Kluyveromyces lactis: one gene and its partners. The protein of the gene in region 3 purifies or fractionates together with the protein of the main gene of each other region. This does not show direct contact. Links are inferred from orthologs where the notes say so. Each region holds a gene or a part of one and is shown on either strand. Other genes may lie near its edges.

The links.
Region 1: the proteins of VPS13 (region 3) and SPO71 purify together in Saccharomyces cerevisiae (affinity purification with western blotting; 5 studies listed by BioGRID, with this or other methods). This does not show direct contact. The link is inferred for Kluyveromyces lactis from reciprocal best matches to the Saccharomyces cerevisiae genes VPS13 and SPO71.
Region 2: the proteins of VPS13 (region 3) and MCP1 purify together in Saccharomyces cerevisiae (affinity purification with western blotting, with the first as the bait; 3 studies listed by BioGRID). This does not show direct contact. The link is inferred for Kluyveromyces lactis from reciprocal best matches to the Saccharomyces cerevisiae genes VPS13 and MCP1.

The regions. Positions count from the first base shown.
Region 1 is NC_006042.1:1,106,613-1,110,753, forward strand, and holds the start of SPO71 (Spo71p), read right to left. Parts: upstream 2,801-4,141; coding exon 1-2,800. Other genes in the region: ECM4 (S-glutathionyl-(chloro)hydroquinone reductase), read right to left, coding at 3,189-4,141. UniProt on the Saccharomyces cerevisiae protein: Recruits the lipid transfer protein VPS13 to the prospore membrane during sporulation, thereby aiding prospore membrane formation.
Region 2 is NC_006040.1:617,935-620,706, reverse strand, and holds MCP1 (Mcp1p), read left to right. Parts: upstream 1-1,420; coding exon 1,421-2,272; downstream 2,273-2,772. Other genes in the region: SPP1 (Spp1p), read right to left, coding at 49-1,077; HER1 (Her1p), read right to left, coding at 2,421-2,772. UniProt on the Saccharomyces cerevisiae protein: Recruits the lipid transfer protein Vps13 to mitochondria thereby promoting vacuole-mitochondria contacts. Involved in mitochondrial lipid homeostasis.
Region 3 is NC_006041.1:65,979-70,244, reverse strand, and holds the start of VPS13 (membrane morphogenesis protein VPS13), read left to right. Parts: upstream 1-1,466; coding exon 1,467-4,266. Other genes in the region: ECM29 (Ecm29p), read right to left, coding at 1-1,104.

The DNA.
Region 1 (4,141 bases), on a different chromosome or scaffold from region 3:
TGAATACTGAATGTTTTCTGGATTTATGATAAATTAATCCTTGGTGTATTATAGGACGCGACAAAGCATGAGCGCTGACGTTGTAAATATGATCGTTTGTTGTTGATAATTCTGTCATCCATTTCGGAACAAATGCAGATATGTGCTTTTCCTGAAGTTCAGTTATATTGAAGGTGTTGAGATTCTTTATTTTCAAATCCCAGAGAAGCTGTCGATCAGCAGCTAGTCTTCGCTTCCAGTAGAAGGCTATTTCACGTAGTCGTGATAACCACTCTTGACATGTCTCCGGATCAGGCGCCATGAGTAGTTTACTGACATTTTTACCAATTACTAACTCTATAATAGAAGACTTCGTTGCTTCAAGTGTTTGACTATTCTTCCATACCATATTATTTGCTTCATTCCATATTTTCATGGTCTTAATATTGAAGCCCGATGCATCTAAAAGCTTGATATCTGTACAACGAGTCAAGTCAATGCAATTATCCGCTTTGAGTATTAGTGATATTTTTCTCAGGAATGATCTACTAGCTCTTGCGTCGTGACTTTCAAATTCCGCAGTTGTTATATTCTCGTTTAACCAAGCGAAATGACCATTCTCATCTAATGGATATGGATTATCTTCGTACACTCTAGGCATGGTTTCAATTAAGTCATCTAGCCTGGCTTTATCTAATACTACTCCGAATGGATCGATTACGTCATCTTCCGGTAGTGGTGGTGTAGCCTTAACGGATCTAGTCCTAAAAAAGAGCCCGTTTGAAGTGAACCAGTAGGAAAGCTTAAAATAGGGATGTGAGAGTTTATATTCATTTTTATCGCTGAAAACAATATTGTTTTCAGATAAAAAACCCTCAATTGGCGAGGGCTCATTAATGACCTTAACGGTATCAGTGTGATTATCGATGGGTTTCTGTATGGATCTGGGGTAAGTTTTAAGCCTACGATATTCAAATATGTGAGATTTTCTCAAAACAAATGTTCCGTACAACAAATCAGTTTGATTGCCGTAAGACCATTCAATCCTATCGTAATGTTTCCAACATAGTCCCATTAGTATATTGGAAGCATCCCATTTTTTAACCTCATGTAAATATCCAAGTTGTATAAGCGTCTCACGTATAACTAGCTTCAAATATCTTAATATTGGAAGTTGTGCTACACGGTATCCATTTTCTAGTTGGAATATTTTCATCACTTCCTCCTCTTCTGCCGCCTTCTTTGCTAATTTCCTTCTTATTATTTCTGGGAGATCTACATTTAGTGATAAATTTACTATTGGAATATGGATGTCAATGTCACAAGGTTGTGCTGCAGGACCAATGCTGGATCTCAAAAATACCAACCACCTACTAGATGATAATAGATTATCACATCGGAATATGAAAATTTTCAAAGGGGAAAATTGTTTCTTCGATGTTGCTGTTTTCGTTTTTGCATTATCCGCAAACCTCATTTCTTGTGTTAATAGGTCATCTTGTTTGACAATGCAAATACTTTTGTCCAAAGAATTATAAAATTCAACAAGGCATTTCTTATCTAAATCAAACTGAATCTTGCAATGCCATGGTTTTCTATCCTTTGTTACTATTGGTTTAATTTTTCTTGAAGTGTAAAGTTGTAGCCTTACTGGAGCATCCGGGTTTCCCGTCCCTCTAGCTACAACGAAATACTCTTTCCATCGTTCATAAATTCTAGTATCTACTGGTTCATCTTCGGAGAAATGAGGGGGAATTACTCTGGCAGTTAAAGCTTGCTTAACCATAACAATCATCTTTTCCATCTTGATGATTTTCCCAATTTTAGTACTATCTAAAGTGATTCTATTATGTTCTGGGGAGGGTTTTTCCCAAAAACTCCCGAAATGAGCGTCTGGTACCACGGCACTAATCTTTTTGCCAATAGCTTTGAAAGGGGTATAATGTGCATGCGAATTATTGATTCTTGTCTGCTCCTCTCGAGTAATCGGTTGAGGAATCGGCTTTAGTATTTTAAGTGGATCTTTACTGTTGAGTGAACTTCTTCTCGACGTAAAAGATCGGAATGTCTGTCTCGTTGGATGTCTGAAAATAAGACGTTGGTTAGCATTTTCTTTGTTTAGTGTGTAGGTCCTTACATCTAAAGATCTTGTTTCATTGTCGTCTAGTACAGAAAAATCGGTAGGTGCTTCATTGTACTCGAGAGATTGTTCTTCAAGATCCGAATTTACTGTGCTTTCTCCATCATGGCCAATTAACGGATCCTCAAAATGCATTACATCAGCATCATTTCCACGATGCGCATCACTGGTTAGCCCTGATGGACTTTGCTGCACTACACTAGGTGAATTCAAGCTTCCATTCTGTAATGACGCTTCGCCGTCGTCTTCGTCATTATCATCATCATCATAAACAGTGACAAGTTTAGAGGGTTTAACGTTTTCATCGAAAGCTTTGTTCTTATCTGCGGAATGATACTGCCTCCAATGTATGAATCTTGTCTCCTTACCTCTACCTTTCTCGTAAACGTATTTTATTCTGTTTCGCAATCGTACATCAGTCAGCCTCTCAAAGATCGTGAAGATGTTATATGAATGCTGAAGATTCCATATTTGTGGAATTCCACCTATTAGGACGGATCGATGACTTTGTGAAATCTCCACAGCAGAGCAATAAGTTAGCTGGTGGGAGGTGAATGAGTGCTTGGGGATCTCGATCTTTTTCATCGCAGATTCCCCGAGACCTGCATTTTCCCTGATGTATTGTAAGAATCTATCATCATCCAATACAATATCTATTAGAACCTTAATTCTTTCGTCCATATGAATGTAAACCACTCTTCTCTAGTGATATTTCTCAAGATATTCAGTAATTCATGCCCTGCTCAATAGTAGTAACCATCAAGTATCGTAATGAAGAATTCTCTGTTTAAGTTTTTATAAGTTGTGTTTGTGTACCCTTGAAATGAAATTATTCCAAAGATTTAAGCAAAGGTTTTCTTGGGATTTATCTCTGTCAGATGAAAGCGACAAATACAACAACTATTTGAGATTTATCCACATAATCTTGGTTGCATGTCATAAAGAGTTGAATTTCATTATGTGTATTTACTAACAGTATGTAGGTGATGTGAAGTGGCACATATATGCCGCTTCAGGCAGACCAGAACTAATTTTAAAATATCAAGGTAAGAAACCATTTTGTCATCAGTTATAATGGCAAGATGTTTGGAGAGGGACCTAATGGGGTAATTGATAATGGGTTGATTTTAGTATGGGATCTAGTGTAATGCCATTTGATGTGGTTGAAATTGGTAGTTTCTTGGAAAGCTTCGTAGTTCCAATATAAGTTTCTGAGCCACAAATGGATGTAAGGGTACCCCGAGCGAATAGTGTTCAAATTGGTTTTGAAATGCTGAACGTATACAGGGTCAAATCTTACAATGGTAGGATATAATCTCAAGTCAGCCTCAGTTAATTGATCTCCTAATAGGTATAGTTTCTTTACAATTTCCTCCTCAGAAGAATGAGTAGATTTCAAAGTTTCGTACCTTTTCTTTAGTATGCCTTCCACCTTATCCAAATGTTTGAACACATTCAATACTTCCTTCTCGTAGATGTCCTGTTTCTCAGCAAACCCGGTCTTGTAAACACCATTATTGATGGAGTCGTAGACCCAGGAGTTGATCTCATCGATTTGAGATTCTAATTCTTTTGGAACCAAATCGATGTCTGGATGAGAATCTGCCACTTCATTGAAAACACCACTGTTGAAAATTCTAATAATCTCAGAACTTTCATTGTTAACTATGGTTTGGGTCTTCAAGTCCCATAGAACGGGCACAGTGAATCTGGCTGCATATTCCGGTTCACTCTTGAAGTACAATTCGCTAATTCTTTGGAAATGGTAATTGTGATCGATGGTACCGTCAATGCCGTATTTGATAGAGTGATTATCTACATCAGCGCTGACACAGAGATCCTTTTCACATTTGAGACCTGCGGATGGTTTGTACGATTCCTTTCCATCGGTTTTATTCGATTCATTATATGGTAAAAACCTCCATCCTTTCTCATCCATGTGCCAATGCACAACACTGATACCAATAACGGACGTTAATCCCTTCAAGACCCTGGTAATCAAGGTGCGGTGAGCCCAAGGAC
Region 2 (2,772 bases), on a different chromosome or scaffold from region 3:
CGTTTCGCCTTCATTGTAATGACAGAAAAGTGACACATTAGATATGAGCTAGGTCTTAACACCGGGTAGGACGCGATTGGACATCTCTTGTTCGAAGAATGAGATTCTCAATTGGTTCGTTCTGACGCTAATTAGTAAATCGAGTCTTCTTTTGACGTTTTCTAGAGAGTCCTTCTGTTCCGAGAGATCGTTTTGGGACAATGTAATCCAATCCTGATGCTTAGCACATTTTGTCTTTACACAAACACCGTCAACTGATGTGATATTACTGTTTTCGTCTTCTTTCAACTGAAGTAGCTTATCTAAAAACTCCTCAACTGACCGAGGGATCGTGAACTCATTATGGTAGCCGCATATTGTAACTTTACTTGCACTTTTCGACTTCTTTCGACCTGTAGGCTGATTGAAATGTGGGGATAATCTCTCGTTAACTTCACCGATCCAGTTGACGTATTTCTCTATTACTGCATCTTCTTCATTTAGTTTTGAAAGCTTGACCGAAACCAACTCATCGTGTTCGTTAATTAATTTGTTTAAATGCTGATCATTTTCTAGCAACTTGGAATATTGATCTTTGGATAAAGGTGACGTGACTTCTGGAAGCTTGTCTCGTCCTAGCGTTTTAAATTCCTCCAATGATGTTGTCTCGTTTAGAAGCTGTCTCAACAATGCAATCTTATCTACGCCAGGTAGATTTAACTTATCAACAATGCTTTGAACGTATTGAACAGCATGTTTCTTTGAACAATATTTGCTTCTTGAATTGGCATCACACTCTGTATAGCATTCAGGGAGCCTGCATTTCCTCTTCCAAAGAGTTTTCGGTAGTTTGCCGCCATTTATCAATGCCGGTCCTGTAATTCCAGCACTACAATACGAACAGTAGAATGAAAAAACGAGATCTCTATATTTCTCGGGGATCTTTAAACAGGAAAAATGAAACCAATCATCACATCCATCACATCCTACCATCAACTCCCCAGTGTCTGGTTTCTTACATATACAATAAACTTCTTCCCCAGTTTTTGGGTCGTGTTTCCTGCTGTCATACCTGGGGCACCAACTAGGTAATGACATCGTGAATACTGTAAATTCAATCCTATACTGGAGTTATCTTATGATGATAAATATCTAGGCAGAAAAAATGAAGTATATTCTTTGTAATATTCAAATGCAACCATTCATGTACCCTTCACAGGCCATATTTGTGTTATTTCTCTGTTTATTTTACCTTCATCGATTCGTGTAATGGTTTTTACATTTTAATATTCCTTTTCTGATGCAATGTGTAAAGATGGAATGTAATGAATAAGCCAACATCAAATTAAGAAACAGATATACCAAGATTCTCAGAAATATCACTTGCCCTTTGAGTATATGAACAAGTGCGTGATTCGCTGACTTATAATTGATAAACTTCATGACTGCTGCGAAATTGACACCGTTGAAGCCCATTCCGACCAAACACATCGACCCCGATTTAGCAAAAACCCCCGAGGATGCCAGCGTCAATTTAGTGTTGAATATTAAGAAATGGCTAAGGTGGACGCAAAAATGGTCTTTATTCCCTCTAGTAACGTACTTTCCGTTACACGGTATCAATGCCCTAATAATTCCTGCTCTTGAGCCCTCCTCTTTTCCAAACGATGCTTTAATGATGGTTAGAGAACTCACATCTGGACTTGGATCTAAGTTGATTTGGACTGGGATATCAATACATATATTATCCGGATTTGCCTTGAGAATAATGAGGAAGCTGCCTACTTCTTCGAAAACACATAATGCCGAATCCTTGCTGGATACTCAGTCACTTGCACAATCTAGAATTGGTCTTGTAGGTGGTTTAAGTGGGTACTTTATTGGGATCAAGAGAAACCTTCAATATAATCCACAAGAGCTTACAGGATGGTTGTTAACTCCAGTATTATTCTTTCATGGTGCCCTCATGAAATGGCTGCCAAATACGGCGAAAGTTGATATAGACTTTGATTTTGTCAAATGGCTACTAGATAAAGACAGAGGTGCTTTGGTGAGGATAGGTCTCGGATATGGCCCCTTGGTTGCTCTTATTGGTTTAGGATCGTATCATATTATCGCTGGAACCGTTCAATATATGCATGTCCGTAGTCTAAAGACTCGTAAAAGAATAATGAACTTCATATTGCTGCTTATTTGTACCGGATATATTGGAATAAGCAGATTGGGATCAGAGATCGTATTCGGAATGGACAAATATTATAGACCAATCCTAAGAACATTGTCATTATCATGAAAATGTATGCTTTACTTCCTGCCAGTGATACACCGTTCATCGTTAATTTTATTCACCATGGCGCTTGTTTTGGTCTTCCTGTACCTAGTTTTATTTATTGTGTGTGTGGCACGTCCATATGTACTTTTGTTTATGCAAAAATATTTATTTATCCTCTGTTAGAACGAACACGACTCAAATTGTTCAACAACTTGTCATATGTCTCGTCAACGTTGAGTTGTTCGGTGGTGGTTTCATCTTCGACATAACTATCTTCACTTTCAGATGGGAATCCATTTTCCTGCGCGGAGTGTCTCTCATCATGACTCACGTTCCCGTCCGGTCTTCCTCCAGGTGATAAAACTAATGGCTTTGCATCAGCAGGTGGTTCAACTTGGATACCATAAATATTATCCAACTTGACTTGTTGACAATTAACATTATCAATCAAGTCTTCAATGGAATTGATACCTTTCGCTTTGATGATAGCCTCACGAAGTTCCGTACCAGATGGAATCTTC
Region 3 (4,266 bases):
ATTTCCGGTTGTTTCTCGTAACGCTAGGTGATTGTTTTTGGCAACATGACGAATGAAAACCAGGGCAGCTAATTTGACTCTCAGATTGCGACTAGCAATGCCGTCCATTGATATCCTCAGAGGCAAATTGGGTAACCTCGTTATCAGAATACTTCGCGTTAGAAGTCCCAGTATTTTTTCCTGGATTTGAGGATTCACAGGTGGTAGATGCTCAGCAATATTGCCGCAAAACAAATCTGAGAGATATTTAACAAAAGTTTCATCATCATATGGTATCTTAATTCTCTTCAAAAGCGTGGACGCTGAATCTGATATATCGATTGGTTGTGCTGATACCACCAATAAGAATGGTATCAAAATCTGGTCATTACTAGTCAAACCTGAGACAGTAAAATCAAAAATTGCCCTTCTGTATTGGTTTAACAAGTCTTTGGTGAAGTATATGGCAGGGCTATAAATGAAAAATGACACATCAGTGCTAGAGAGACCCGGACAAAAGTAGGAAACTGAGCTACCTTCTGTTCTCTTGGGAACCAATAGAAAAAACTTCAAGAATTTTTCAACCAAAAATCTTAAATCAGAATCATTTACGTTTAAAAAGTCTATCGTTTCTCTTTCCTCTGAGGAACCTTGCAAAGGAGCTTTCCATGTCAACAATACTTTACACAGAATGTGAAATATTCTTGTTTGTGCTGGTGATGATAAGTTGGAAATATCTTCTATTATATCAGGCAAAAGCTCTCTTGATTCCTGTCTACTTATTCTTTCTACCCCTTTGGAAAGGAAAAACGACGAATAAACAATAACATTGGTAGCGTCCTGACCTTCATTCAGATTTGGCTTTTTAACTTGTTGCAATAGCTGCCTCACCGGAAGCTTACAGCGAAAATGAGAATTGACTCTCGACGTGATATGTTTTATGGACTCATAAACCAATTCCCTAACGGATGAATAAGGTGAGGCTAGCTTTAATAATAAAGGCGGCAAAAAAGTGTTCAAAGTCTGCTCGAATTTAGCATCATCTTTTGCCAATACTAGTCTGAGGTCAACCTTCTCAACAAGTGATCTCTCTTGGCCCTCACTCAATTGCTGGAACTTGCTCATTGGACAACATTAACACACGGTTTTATGATGTCTTTCTTCGTACAGTGGCAAATATGTTCAAATTATTTCCAATCTTCTGCTAATAAGATTCACATCTTTAAACTTTCAAACCTTTAAAGTGCAGTAGAATTCCTTTTGCCTGATTTAAATACCTGATTACCCGCACATATCCATGCTATGAAACCTTTTTTTTCAATTGACAGTTTGTCTATTTTTGTATTTACATAAATTCAAAGGGGAGCTGATAGCAATTGAAACCAGAAAAAATAAAACACCAACTTTGCATCAGTCCACCCTAAAGCACCAATAGAGAATCTAAATAGCTCACAACAGTAATAAATCAACGATAGAGAGCCTAATAAATGTTAGAATCTCTTGTCTCTGCTCTTTTAAACCGATTTTTGGGTGCCTATGTCGAGAATTTCGATCCAACCCAACTTAACGTTGGCATATGGAACGGGGATGTTAAATTACGCAACTTGCGTTTAAGAAAGGATTCATTAGATGCATTGGATCTACCTATCGATGTAAAGTTTGGATATTTGGGAGAATTGACTTTGTTAATCCCATGGTCCAGTTTAAAAAATAAACCAGTGAAGATCATAATTGAAGATGTGTATATGTTATGCGCTCCACGGACACCGGAGTCATATAATGTGGAGGAACAAATTGAGCGCGAGCTCAAAGTAAAACTTCAGCGTCTGGCAGATTTTGAACTCGCCAACAGTTCCAAACCAGATATCAATTTAGATTCTAATCGCAATGAATCTTTTACACAATCCTTGTTGACCAAAATTGTCGATAACCTTCAGGTAACGGTGAAGAATATTCATATGAGGTATGAAGATATGAATTCAGTGTTCAGTGAAGGACCATGCGCATTTGGTATTTCATTAAGTGAGCTCTCTGCAGTATCCACTGATGAATCCTGGAATCCCAGTTTCATCTCCATTAAACAACAAATTACTCATAAATTGGCTACCCTAGATTCTATTAGTATATACTGTAACACAGGCACAGAATCGATAGAAACGGACGACTCTGAGGAACTTTTGATTAGATTACGCGAATCAATTGCCGATAACCGAGGCGCTCCAGAATATCAATACCTCTTGAAACCGGTCAGAGGATCGGCTAGACTCAAAATGAATAAAGCTGGTGCCACTGAAGATGCTCCTCATATCGATGTGCAATTAATGTTTGATGAATTTGCTCTTGTGTTAGATGATTGTCAGTATAAGGAAGTCCTTCACAATCTGTCGAAGTACCACTGGTTCCATAAAACTTTGAAGTACAGACAACATAGACCGACTGTTAAACCTGCAGCTGATCCTGCTTTATGGTTCAAGTACGCTGCAAACTGTGTTCTATCTGAAATACACGAGAAAAACTACAAGTCTAGTTGGGAATATATTAAAGAAAGAAGGAACAAGAGAGATGAGTACGTATCTCTTTTCAAGAAAAAGCTAACTCTACCTGATATTAACGATCCATTGCCTAATGTTGAAGAGGAAAAAAGGCTTCATGCGCTTGATGTAGAGTTAAGCTTTGATGATATCAAGTTTTTCAGAGCCTTTACCAGAAGAGAGTTTTGTCAGGAGTCTAAATTTACTCAGCTTTCAGAGACGATTAGCACCAACGCAAATCCACAAGGTTGGTTTTCAAGCTGGTGGGCTCCATCTAACGCAAAAAGCGATGACAGCTTGACAATGACTGACGAACAGCGCAAAGAGCTTTACGATGCTATTGAATACGATGACTCGAATGATCCTTTGAAATCAGTAGACATACCTAAAGATCGTACAACTCTTAGAGTAACCAATCTATTACAGAAAGGATCTTTAACAGTGATGGATAGAACAAAAGGCCATCGCATGTGTGACTTCATATTTGAGGAATCTGCAACAGAATTTCTGAACCGACCAGACTCTTTTCTTTTCAAATTTGAGCTTTCCAGTTTCCTCGTGGAGGATGGTTCTCCTCACACCTTATATCGTCACATTGTCAGCCCTAGGACTAAACATGAAAAAGGTGGCGACCCTCTTTTACATCTTTATTTTGATAGTTGTCCAATGGATGAGTCAGCTGACACATTTTTAGATATTAAGTTTGGGTCTGTGTTTGTGTATTATCACATTCATTTTATCAATGAATTGATAAGATTCTTCAACCCTCCAACTAAACACTGGGAAACAGTATCTGCCTTAATGAATGCTGCAGAGGCAACTGTTGAAGGATGGACAAGTCAAACCAGAATGGGATTAGAAGCACTACTCAATGAACATAAAACTATCGATCTAAAACTTAATGCAGCTTCTCCGACCATCATAATTCCATTAGACGCGCATTCTTGGGAATCTCCATGCGCAATAATCGATGCTGGTTCGATCAAGATGTCTAGTGATCTTGTGCCAAAACAAGAAATCAAGAAAATAAAGGAGCTAAGTGTGGATGAATATGCTAAGATTGATTCTGATGAACTCAAAAGATTAATGTTTGATAGATTTAAGATAAAACTCACAGACACCCAATTGCTAATCGGGCCTGACATGAAATCATCGATCACTAGCATCAATGTCAAACAAAGAGACAACAATTTCACAATTTTGGAGAAGATGGAATTAGATTTTATTCTAGATATTTTGATCTTCCCAAAAGCGTTAAACTTGCCCAGAGTCGCAGCCTCAGTGACACTTCCAAGCCTTAACATCTTTTTGAACGACTTTCAATATAAAATCATAATGCAATTGGTTGAGAGCTGCGTACCATATGTTGAAGACGATCAGGAAGAAGCCAGTACCTCGAGCGGAAGCCAGAGCTACTCTCAATTAATTCCTCTAGACAATATTGGTGGATCTGATGAAGCTCTATTGAAACATAAGGAGACCCTTGTCTTGAAACAGACAAAGAGAATGATGGAAACATTAAGTAAAGCAGAGCTCGATCAAACATCTTTTCAACTTTCCTTGGATGTTTCTAAGATCGAAATTTCCCTTTTGAAATGTTTAGAAGGTCCAACCATGAATTCTTCTAAACTTGTAAAACTTGTTGGTGAACATCTCTCACTAAGACTTCTAAAGAGCTTTGTTAAAATGGATTTCGATCTCTCATTAACAGAGTTAAGATTCGAGGATCATATTTCAAAGCAAACATCGAAAGGAT